Cricetulus griseus: one gene and its partners. The protein of the gene in region 2 interacts with the protein of the main gene of each other region in a biochemical or structural test. Links are inferred from orthologs where the notes say so. Each region holds a gene or a part of one and is shown on either strand. Other genes may lie near its edges.

Evidence for each region.
Region 1: of the proteins of Msn (region 2) and Lrrk2, one has a biochemical effect on the other in vitro, tested with the Homo sapiens proteins (9 studies listed by IntAct). The link is inferred for Cricetulus griseus from reciprocal best matches to the Homo sapiens genes MSN and LRRK2.
Region 3: the proteins of Msn (region 2) and Spn form a complex in vitro, tested with the Homo sapiens proteins (2 studies listed by BioGRID). The link is inferred for Cricetulus griseus from reciprocal best matches to the Homo sapiens genes MSN and SPN.

What each region holds. Positions count from the first base shown.
Region 1 is NC_048595.1:388,266,328-388,269,973, forward strand, and holds part of Lrrk2 (leucine-rich repeat serine/threonine-protein kinase 2), read left to right. Parts: intron 1-15; coding exon 16-109; intron 110-2,585; coding exon 2,586-2,772; intron 2,773-3,646. UniProt on the Homo sapiens protein: Serine/threonine-protein kinase which phosphorylates a broad range of proteins involved in multiple processes such as neuronal plasticity, innate immunity, autophagy, and vesicle trafficking.
Region 2 is NC_048604.1:74,065,333-74,069,452, forward strand, and holds the start of Msn (moesin), read right to left. Parts: upstream 2,931-4,120; 5' UTR 2,727-2,930; coding exon 2,715-2,726; intron 1-2,714. UniProt on the Homo sapiens protein: Ezrin-radixin-moesin (ERM) family protein that connects the actin cytoskeleton to the plasma membrane and thereby regulates the structure and function of specific domains of the cell cortex.
Region 3 is NC_048596.1:73,613,940-73,618,299, forward strand, and holds the start of Spn (leukosialin), read left to right. Parts: upstream 1-1,416; 5' UTR 1,417-1,439; coding exon 1,440-1,571; intron 1,572-1,946; coding exon 1,947-3,122; 3' UTR 3,123-3,124; coding exon of another isoform or gene 3,125-3,245; 3' UTR 3,246-4,360. Other genes in the region: Qprt (nicotinate-nucleotide pyrophosphorylase [carboxylating]), read left to right, coding at 3,125-3,245. UniProt on the Homo sapiens protein: Predominant cell surface sialoprotein of leukocytes which regulates multiple T-cell functions, including T-cell activation, proliferation, differentiation, trafficking and migration.

The DNA of each region.
Region 1 (3,646 bases), on a different chromosome or scaffold from region 2:
GTTTTATTTCCTTAGCTGCGATGCCTGCCTTACCTTTTTCCATAACAAGCCTAAAATTATCTCAAAATGGTTTCACATGCATTCCAGAAGCAATTTTCATTCTTCCGCAGTAAGTTCATTGTTATTTACTTCTGAAGCTGAATGAGTTGTGGCATAACTTTTAGAAGTAAAGCAATGATTTGAAATGAGCACATATATCATGCATTTATAAACCTACTTCAGTGTTTTATTTTTTATATGAGGGTTTGATTTTTACTAGAGAAAAGATCCATCTCTTCAACCTTTGCAGTAACTTACACATGCTTTGTGTAGGAAAAACAAGAATAATTAACTGCAGCGTCCTATATCTAAATAAGATGACATGGGATGAATGTTTGTCAGATGAATGTTAGTTTCTTTCAGGTTTTAGCTGCTCACAGGGGTTTATTTGTTGCCTGAACCTTGAAATTTCATTCACTTCAGTGACATTTTCTGTGAATATTTGGAGAATATATATAGTTCCACATCTGGACAGGGTCAAGTGGCTGGGGTTTGGGGACTTGTTAATTTCATTGAAGACCCAAACTTCAGCATTAATTCAGTTCCTAGTATGTTGTCATTTTAAGAACTAGTTTATTCATGGATTATAAAACAATCATAGATTTATGAACATCATAGGCAAATAGCAACCACAGAGCTATGCCAGATAAACATAAACTCATTAGCGTAAATCTAACTTTTCAAAACCCTACTCTGTGTTTTAATTGTGCTACATGAACCTCCTCTTTGGTCTTCCTAATCATCTTATTAGGTAACTTCTGCTGTCATTTCCATTTTTAAATTTCACTAGAGAGATTAAGTATCTTCCCAAAGTCATAATTCATCTGTGTTGGTGGCCTCAACTTCACACTCCCAATTCTTAGATATTGGCTTCAATTAAATAAACATGGTCTTATGTTTTAAACATATTTCTGAAAATATATAAAGGCCAATTATGTAAGATCATTTACTAGGAAACAAAGTGGCATCAAGATGATGTCTTCTCAGAGGAGTAAACGTGTAAACCAGCTCCTGATGTCTTCAACACCATCTGCAGGCACACATCTCCACCTTTGTGCTCCTGTTTTAAATCTTCTCTTGTTTGGACAAGCTAGAGTCCTGGTTGGAGCCAAAGAAATACTACTTTGGGAGATCATAGTATTTCTTGCTTGTCTGAAATGCATTTCCAGTTAGACTGATATATGTAATCTCTAACATAGCCAGATTCTTCTTTCAATTTTCATGAACATTTCTATGGTAACTAGAACAATATATAGTACATTTTAAAGAAGAACACAACACTTTTTTAAAAAAATACAAACTCTTGTTAAGGAGATGTTGCTGCTGTGTTAGCTGAAGATTAATTTATTAAGCTTCAATACACTGAGTGGGAGGGATCAGTGTGTGTATGAAAGCCCACCCTATTTGCTGACCATCTTTATTATCTCCACACACATGTACTCATGAGAAGTAAGGTTTTCTGAAAACTGAGAAGCACTGATTAATGAGAGCAAGCAGGTTGCATGGCAGACTTATCCTAACTTTGTCTCATATTCACTGAGACTAGCTGGTAGAAGGGCATACCCACAGCTCTAGTGATTAACCTGGAGCAGCCCTGTAGAAACCACTCAATGATGAGTGAAAGCCATCCCTAGAAGGCTATCGGGGAATGCACAATTATAAACCCTGAGAGGAGACAGGATCTCAATGACCATTTGTATACTTGTTAGTCATAATTTCTCATGCCCCATGAGCATTTGTGAAACACGTATCTTTTCCTCATTTTGAGAGAGATAGTTGTATGGTCTAAAGGGAAATTGGACCTCAATTTTTCCTTTCTTCAAAAACGAGCTTTAACGAACATATATAAATTGTAAATATGGGTACCATATGATGCTTTGATGAATGAATGAATATCATGTGATATTCAAGGGTTAATATATTTGTCTCTGCAAGTATTTTTTTTTCTTTTTGGCAAAGCTACCCAAAATCCATTCTTACGATCACGTTGCTACCACATTTTCGTCAAATCAGACAAAGTAACCAACTTTGTTTCTAAGAATCCTGTGGTCATATATTGCTTATGATCTAATAAAGCTTGCTGAAGATTAGAATGGCTAACCACAACCATAGAAGCCAGGCAGTGGTGGCACACACCTTTAATCCCAGCACTAGAGAGGAACATAAGACAGGATCTCATGGTCTAATGTAGGATTCAGTCTCCAGTCATGTTGAGGACAGGATCGCCTATCTTGGTAGAGGTAAGAACTCTCTAGTGGCTTAGCTGCTTTGATTTTCTGATCTTCAGCTTGAACCTCAATATCTGTCTCTTGGTTTTTTATTATTCGTACTACATAATCCTTATTCACTTATACCTCCACTCTAGAGAAAAATGCATTTTCTTTTAAGCACTGTATGAAATACAAGCTCAAGTTCATGCTTATATGTTGGTGGTGTAGCTTTAAAATCATTTTCTAACTCTCAGTCTGGTAAAATTCTTGGGGACGTTACTTTGTGTCCTATGAGTACCTCCACTTTGCTTACAAAGGGACACCATGTCATTCCAGCTTGCGGTCCTTGGACATGAGCCACAACAACATCCAGTGTCTGCCAGGGCCTGCACACTGGAAGTCTCTGAACTTAAGGGAGCTCTTCTTTAGCCATAACCACATCAGCACCTTGGACTTGAGTGAAAAGCCACACGTGTGGTCAAGAGTAGAGAAACTGCATCTCTCTCACAATAAACTGAAAGAGGTAAGAGGTCATTTTTCTTTTAAGTTACCAGATACTTGGCAGCAGATTTTAGCTGGTGTTATCACAGCTATTTTCAAATTGGTTGATATTTCTTGCTTTGTAAATGAAATGTGATTCTTCTCTGTGCTAAGTGGGTGTACTTAAAGCTCAATAAACCCCCAGATACTCTTGTTTGATATCTTGAAAGAATTGTTACACGTGAGCGTGCATACCTAATTTTGGATATGTGGTGCTGTAACAGGGTCATTGTCTGTGACCTCTGATCTTTCACAGAGCCTAACATACTCTAAGTCTCTCATTTTCATTGGATGACAACTGGACTGTGTTATCCCTGTTTCTTTCCTCCATGCTTAGACCTTTTCAGTCTTCCTCTGGATGACCCCTCACCTAAATGAGTCAGCCTCCCTTTCCTTACACACAGAAGGAAAATATTTTCTTGTCAAGTTCAAGTTCTTGACCATTTAAAAAGCTACTTAAGGTCTGATACTTTTATGTATCAGAATTACTGGATATTTTTGGTACCTATCCCTTTTTCCATCAAATGAATGTTTTCTATTATAAGTATACTATAGTTGGCTTGAAACCTTTTAATATGGTCTTAGAATTATAATGCTTACCTAGCATACACAAGGTTCAATAACCCCAACTGAGAAAAAATACAATAGAAAATTAAACCACTTTGGTTAGGTTGGCACCTGAAGTGTAAGTATTTAGTAGTTTGTAATGATTATATATTTCTGGTTTACTTTAAAGAACATAGGCAATGTGAGAAAACAGAATAGAACCACAAATAACAGATTTTGATAAATACAAATGACTCATTTTTTCAGTATTGTATTCAATGAGGTTTGTTTTTAAGGGTGATTTAGTTTTT
Region 2 (4,120 bases):
AGAAGCAAGAGGATTGGACGGACGTTCAAGCCTAGCCTGGTACACGTGAGACTTTGCTTTATAAAACCAATCAAGCAAATAGATAAATTATAACACAATAAATCATAAAGCTCGAAATAAAAACTCAAAACCCTAAAAATTTACAATCTCATTCAGGTTGTGGTGATACACCCCTTTAAGTCCAGCACTCGGGAGGCAGAGGCAGGGGGATCTCTGTGAGTTCAAGGCCAGCCTGGTCTACAGGGAGGGTTCCCGGACAGGCTCCAAAACTACAAAAAAATCACAATCTCTTTTTAGGGAATCCAAGAGTTTCCAAAGTTTTTGAGTTTTTTTTGTTTTTTGTTTTTTCTTAAGTTAAAGATGGGTGTGAAAGGGAAAGGCCTTCTCAAAAAAAAGTCTGTTTATTTTATGTACATGAGCGTTTTGACCACATGTATGTATGTGCACCACATTTGTGCCTAATGCCCAAGAGGCCAGAAGAGGGAGTCAGACTCCTGGATCTGGAGTTACACACAGTTCTAAGCTGCCATGTGGGTGCTGAGACCTGAACCTGAAAGAGCAGTGTGAGCTCTTACCTGTTAAGCCACCTCGCCAGTCTTAGGAAAGACATTTTCATTTAGAATTGTCGTCTCTCCAGAAGGCTAGACAGGCTGGTCATATTGTAAAAGCCTATGATCCTAGCATCCCAAGGGCTGAGTCAAGATTGCAAGAGTTGGAGGCCAGCCTGTGCTACAAGGTAGGAGGACCTTGCTTCAAGAAACATCAAAGACCAGACTAAGGAAAGTAGCAACCAGAAAACAGTCCAAGAAAGACTTATTTCAACAGATTTAAAGCAGTCTGGCCCGGCTAGAAAAAAATTGGTTATAACAGTAAAACTGACCATGGCTAATACAAATGAAGGCATTTGATTTTACACTACCATTCTGGATCTTTCACAGTTTAGAAATGGTTAAGTACACAACAGAGAAGGAGTGGAAGCCGAGTGTGATGGTGGCTCAAACCTGCAATCCGTGCACTTGGCAGGATGAAGTAGAACGACTTCCAAGAGTTTTTAAGACTGCCTCAGGCTACAAAGAGAGTTCTAGACCAGCCTGTGCTAGGATAAGACCCTCTACCGAAAAAAAAGCAAGCCAGGTGTGGTGGCTGTCAAGCCTATAAACTCAGCATTGCTAAGACGGAGGCAGGGAGATTGGCAAAAATTCAGGACCTATCTGCATTACATGGTGAGTCCCAGGCCAGCCTAAGTTAAAAGCCCAGCAGCAGGATACATGTGATTTAAAAACAGAAGGGCAGACTGAGGGGAGGAAAGAGACCTGCTAGAAGTCCTGGGGTGAAGGAGACAACAGGAGGGCAATGGAGGAGGCGAACCAAGTATAATTTCACACACACACACACACACACACACACACACACACACACACACACACACTCATAAAGTACAATTTTACGTAAGACCATGAGACTCTGTCTCAAAAAATTAAGAAATAATAAAAAAAACTTTGTGTTCTTTAAGGACAAGAGTTCTGAGAAGGCAAGGCCGGCTCAGTAGTGAGGCTGGAATACAGTATGGTGGGAACTAAACCTCAGTATAGACACAAAGACCTCTCAATATCTATCCAGTCTCCTCTCCTCCCAGGGGCCCTCATCCCTTCCTAAGCATCCTAGTCACTATCTCAGCTCCACCAGGTTCAGGCAATCCTAGGGAGATGGATGGGCTAGGAACATACAACATAGGAGCCCAGCAAGCTCCTTCACCTAAGAGACTCAAGCCACGGTGGACATCGGGCCTTCTTGAACAAGGACCTGGCGTGACTTGCACAAAAGCAAGCAGAGCTCATTAGTCAAGCACACACCCCTCCCCCACCCCTCCCTACTGGGCATCCGGCCCCCCTAGGCCTCACTCCCTGGAGGCTTCTGCTCTTCTAGCAACAGCCAGTGGGGTGGAGTCCAGATCTCTAATCAACCACTACACTAGATAGGTGTGGCCCCCACAGGAGAAAACCCATACCTCACAGAATAGTCCTAAGGGGATAGAGAGGCACTGTGTCTATCAGGGATTTCGTAGAGGAAGAGAAACCTGCCCTCTCTTCCAGTAGGTTGAGTGGGCCCCTCCACAGACTCGTGCCTAGTGAAGTGTTTGCACCCCTGGGTAACAGGAAGTAGCCTAGTTGTTGAGTCCCATCTACATCCCCCTCATCTCCCAGGGGAAAGCAGTTTGAACTGAGGAGCGGTCTAAGGGGGCAGAGCAGGAGTAGGGGAGAAGGGCGGACGGCTATGGGAAAGGTGGATGGGCGTGCGGGATCCGCCCTGAGCAACTTCCTCTCTCCTCCCTGCTTCTCGGTTACCATGGGGCTCTTCTGGGACAGTGATAGCCTTGCTCCAGAAAGGCGCCAATTCCTGGGCCGGGACAATGTTCTCAGAAGTAGAGTCCTCTTCCCAGTGCCCAATAACCCTGAGTTTCCACTGCCTCATCCCAGAGGCGGGGAACTGGACCCTGAGAAAGGCTGGCCCCTCCTTATCCACACTTCTAGTCCGGACACCCCCTCACCCTCTAGAACACTCAAACCAGGACCCCACTATCCTCTCCTTCTTAGGGCCTTGAGGGACAGCCCGGCATCCCCGGCAGGCCTGTGACCAGGCAAGCCCACAGCCATGGGACTGCAAGGGTCAAACTGGAGCCCTCGGGACCGACAGCCCCTGTCCCCAGCACTCACCGTCTTCGGCATGGTGGCGGCAAAGGCGGAGGAGTTGGTGAAGTTTGGCTAGAAACTGTCGGGCTGTTCTGAGCGCGCGGTACACTTCGGCAAGGACTTGGGAGAGCCGGTTGCTCAGATTGGGTCCCACTCTAGAGTTGGGCGACTGCTCCGCTTCCTGCTAACGGGCCACGACTTTACAAACCCCACCCAGGAAAGAGCCGCCCTCGTTGCGCCGCTCGCTCCTTTATGTGGCCGGGCTTCCGCGCCTCTCCCCGCCCTCCCACCCGCCTGCCCGCCGCTTTGGGCATCGCCCCGCCCAGCCCGGCCCAGCCCAGTGCAGCCACTCCGGCCACGTGGGGGTCCAGGCTGGGGCCCAAACACACCAAGGACTCCCACTCCCCATCCAGACCCACTCTGCCCTCTCCCACCTTTCTCACTGTCCTTAGCCCTTCAAGTTTCGACCCTCAGACTCCGCCCCCAGACTGAGCCAGAGCTTTAGTGGGGGGCCACACCCTAGCAGATGCTTATGCAGTCCTTGACTGTGAGTTAACCACTGTTGGGGAACCCGTTGCCCATGAGAGCTGCCCTATACCCTCTCTAGGCATCCTTGCTGATTAGAAAATTCCCCCTGGGTACTTTTGAACTCTTTTGCTCTGTGACTTCCAACTATGTTTCATCTAAGCTCCCTGGGAACACAGCAAATCCTCTGTTGTCCATAGCAGCTCCCCAGAGTTCTGCTACTCCTCAGGAAACTTCTCTGGACTAAGTTGCCTCAGCTCTTCCTAAACACTTCATTCCCATCTATAGGGCTCGTATCACCTGTCACATTTCCTCTACATTATTTGGGCCTCGTGATCTTCAGATTCGAAATCTTTTCCAAACATCTGTCTTCTAAATTCCCTTTCTTTCCTCGTATTCCCAGTCTCAACTCTACTCAGACCAGTAAGTACCCTGGTCCTTTCTTTAGCCCCACCCTGGCACATTAAGGGTTTTTGATTATTTTTTTGGTTTGGAGCTGGCCTGAAACATATTATGTAGTTTAGGTTAGTCTTGAATTCAGTCCTACTATGTTACTTTAGGTTAGTCTGGAACTAATAATCCTACTGTGTCTACTGACTTTCACGTGTGTGCCTCCATTTCTATGCATTCGTTTTTTAACACGCGGTAGTATCAGTAGTCCATTGACTTGGACTCGTCATCCTTCTGCTTCTGCCACCCTGGTGCTGGGATTACAGGTGTGTGCCCCAACACCAGATTTGAATTCACTTTTTGATAAGGGTATAAGTCTCTGAGATGAGATATACCCTCTTGTTCTGGCAACTGAGCAGGAGCATGGATTGCGTGTCTTTTGTGAGGTAAAGTACTATATGCCTCAATGATTGGGACTCAACTACAGAGTTGTGGCAAGGGCATTTGGAAGGGGG
Region 3 (4,360 bases), on a different chromosome or scaffold from region 2:
CTGCCTGCTGTTCTGTGAGCACAGTAGTCCTGCTTCTGACCCCAAGTCTCATGCCACCTTAACTCAGCAGTGAGTAGCTACAGTAGGAGCCTAGACTCTGCCAGGGACCTATTTCAGTCATTTTGTTCTTATAGAACTTGGGTTAATTAAATTACAGATTTTTAAAATTCTTTTCTACTTTTGAGATTTTTTAATGTAGATATGTAAACACTATGGTTAAGAGAAAGAAAAGTATTCAGAAAGAAAGACATGACCGAGAGAGTGGTATGGATTCCTCAGAGGAGAGACCCCTTTTTGTTTGTTTGTTTATTTTGTCTGTTTTTGTTGTTGTTATATTGTGCACAGAACTGTTTTGACAATATAAAAATCAGTTATGAGTTTTTGCTTGTTTCTTGTGGTTTTTCGAGACAGGCCTGTGTGGCCCTGGCTGTCCTGGAACTCGCCCTGTAGACCAGGCTGACCTCGAACTCACAGAGATCCGCCTGCCTCTGCCTCCCGAGTGCTGGGATTAAAGGTGTGCGCCACCATGCCCAGCCAGTTATGGGTTTTCAGAAGGCAAGGCCAGGTTCCCAAACAGACAACTACCAAAAGGATCCATTTGCTAGCTCAAGTCAGGCAACAGAAATCATTCAAAGGAAGAATGCAAAGAGCCCCTTATTCAAGGCTGGGGGTGTGGCTCAGAGTAGAGAATGTGTGTGGAACCAGGGCCCTGGGATTGATCTTCAGCATTGCAGAAATGACCCCAAACCCTCAGTTCACACTCAACTGAAGACTTTTAGTTAATTTCATAGTACAGGTATTTCTAGAAGTTTTCTCTTTTTAAGTAAATCTGTATTTATTTTCATCTCTGTGCATGAGTGCTTGTCTGTGCCTATGCGTGCTGGTGCCCTTGGAGGCCAGCAGGGGGCGTCAGACTCTCCGGATATCTGGTGGTTGTGAGTCACACTGTGCCGGTGCGTGGAACTGACCTGGTCTTCTGGAAGGGCAGCCCATGCTCCGAACCTCTCAGCCATCTCTCCAGCCCGCATGGTTTTCTAAGACCATATTATATGCAGTGGTTATACTAGCCTCAACTGATGGCCACTGGAGTGACCTCAGCTCCTTGTGACTCTGGCAGGCTGAAAAACCTTTCAGGGGTATGAGCAAAGTCAGCGGGCTTTCCCTGGCCCTGTTACTTCCTGGGAGATCTTAGCAGGAAATGCATCACCTCAGGTCCTGGCCAAATGGCTTGCGGGACAACAGGTTCTCCTTCCATATCCTCCTCTCTCTCAGTTCCTAGTCCTTAGCATATCTTCTCATCTCCCAGCTGGGACTGCTTGACATTCTATACCCCAGTGAAAATCTAAAAATTGTCATTCTGGACCAGAGTATCCCTTCATGCCTTCACTGAGCTCCTGGGTCCCCCAGGCAGTTGTGGGAGTAGGAATGGGTGGGGCAGGATGCAGGGGTTGGGTGGGTGGAGCCAAGACCCACTTCCTTTCCCCCTGGGGCTCAGTCTGTCCCAGTCCCGACCAAGCCTCAGGAGGAGCTGGAGGTGCTCACCCTGGCCCTGCGCCATGTCCATTAAGCTGGTAAGACTAGATATAATAGAGGTGTGGGGTTGGGGGCTCAGAGGATGATGGGATGTTTCTATAGTTTGAAAAGATGGGTAGGGTGATGGGCAAAGGGGGTCAAGAGCCACTGACTGGAACAGAATGAGTGACGGCCAGGAGGACATGGCTGCTGCTGGAATCAGTTGCCAGGGCCAGGGTGGGGAGTCACTGCCACCATCTGTCCCCTTGCTGCTTCTGATAATCGTAAAAGCAAGAATGGAAAAAAAAAAAGAAATTCAGAAACCGTTAAACCACAAGCTGGGCTCGGCAGTTGGCAGGGAAGTGGCAGAAGGAGGGGGCTGGCCAGGTTTCCCTCCCCAACCCCTGTGTGTTCGGTAACTTCCCTACATTCAGGTCCTAGCTCCTGCTCTGAAGATGACCCTGCTTCTCCTCCTCTTCGGGGGCTTCTGGATCCAGGTGACGAGCAGCAACCTAGATCTGCAGAACACAACGACGCTGACACCTGCTACCCCACATAACAAGGCCCCAGACATCTCTGAGGCCTTGAGTGTCAGCCAAACAATCTCTACTAGGACAGACACAGTGGACCCTGCAGAGACTGCCAGCATCGGGAGTCACATCACACCCCCACCCTCCTCAACCCCCTTTGGAACTCCTGAATTGTCTTCTCTTGGGGTTCCCGTTGGTGCTAGCATGAGCATCCCTGTACCTGAGCCTACAACCTCCCAGGAAGTTTCCAACAAGACATCAGTGAAGCCTCCAGAATCAACAGATGTTCCCAGTGACCCTCCTGACACAATAGCCAATCCTGTGACAGACGGAACTGTGACATTTACCTCTCTAGAAAACTCTAAAGGGACCAGTGCACACCCTGTCGCCATGACAACAAGCACCAGTGAGACCAGTGGATCCTCTGTGACTACAACAGTAAGCTTCAAGACCAGTGGTCCCCCTGTCACCATGACTACTGGGTCTCTGGGTCTCTCCAGTGAGACTCATGGACTCCCTGCCACCATAGCAACCAGTTCTGTGGAGAGCTCTAGTGTAGCGGGTGGCACCCCCGTTTCTGGCATAAAAATATCCATGATGTCTACCCCAGAGCCAATAACCACCAGGACGCCACGCCAGCGATCAAGCGGCATGTTACTAGTGCCCATGCTTGTGGCCTTGCTGGTAGTTTTGGCTCTGGTTGCGCTATTGCTGTTGTGGCGCCGGCGGCAGAAGCGGAGGACCGGGGCCCTGACCCTGAGCAGAGGCGTAAAACGCAATGGGGTAGTGGATGCCTGGGCTGGGCCAGCCCGGGTTCCTGATGAAGAGGCTGCAACAGCAACAGCGTCATCAGGGCCAGGGGGCAACAAGGGCTCTGGAGCTCTGGAAAAAGAGGGGTCCGGCCAGCGGCCCACCCTCACCACTTTCTTTAGCAGACGGAAATCTCGCCAGGGCTCTTTAGTACTGGAGGAGCTGAAGTCTGGGCCAGGTCCCGACCTAAAGGGGGAGGAGGAGCCGCTGGTGGGCAGTGAGGATGAGGCTGTGGAAACCTCCACTTCTGATGGGCTTCTTAGAAGCTAAAGATGGGGCTACACCTCAAAGCCTATGAGCAACAGGAGATCCTCATCCGACCCTGCTCCTTAACCCTGGATCCTGCTCCTAGCATCCTCCTAGCATCCTCACACTCTACACTTGTGAATATTTGTGAGCCATATGCACTCATTCATTCATTCATCCCCCCCACCCCCCAGCCCTTCCTCCATGCTCCCTTTGGAATCAGTTTCCATGAGAATAATCTTAGTTGACCTACAATTTCTCCAAGGATCCACCTTGGGATGCTGGGGTCTGACAAGAAGAATGAAGCAACAAACCAGCAAACTTCCGACAATGAAACTTTGTGAAGTACATGGCACCCCCCTCCCATAGGGCCCCTTCAGGACTCCCATTGCTCAGGGGTCAGCTTAGAGCCTGGATGGGGCCATCCAGCTTGCTCTTGGGTGAACTGTGACCTGTGACTTTTCCCAGAGCACTCTGGCTCTGGGCTGGCTGACAGCTGCTGGTTGAGGCTGCCAGAGATCGGCTACTTCTCCTTGGGGCAGAGATGAGACTTTCTGGTTCCAAGAAGCCCAGGCACCTGCTGTGTCCATTCAGAGGTGTGGTTTGTGTGCAAGATGTGACCCTTAGGTGATGGCTGTGAACAGTACTGGTGAGTAGAGATGGTGGGAGAGAGCAGGGCAGGGACTGGCAAAGTGAGGGACACAGGAACGACTGGGAACACCGGTGCCTTCATCTTGCTCAGACAGGACAGGAACAGCTGAAAACCTTAATCTGTGTGCAGCCTCCAAAAGAATGCAAACTCGATGGGGACTAAGCTGCCAGACCCTCCCTTCAAAGGCGCCCTTACACCAACACCCATCCACCCACCCGTGCATACATGCTAGAAGAGGAGAGGTGACAGCCCAGCGTGGCGACTGGGTGCTGCCAAACCCTCTGGCCTTGATGCCTTTCCCCTACAGGCTCGGTTTGTCTGCTTCCTCTTCCATTCCAGGGCTGAAGTCCTTCCCTTTTCTAAGAAAGAGGGAGTTAGATGAGAATATAGGCCCAGGGGCGGGAACATGGGTGCTAGGGGCTCTCTGAGGGTCTGAGGTAGAGAGGACAGGCCCCAGTTGTGCTGCTTCTGACCCACTGTAGCCTTTGATACTGGCCCAGGCTACAACCCAAGAAGACACGTGGTCCAAAGGTGGTTGCTGGAGGAGATTTGCAAGAGGAAGTTGTTGAGTCAGAGGGCACAGTCCTTGAGAACAGACTGACCTACAAAA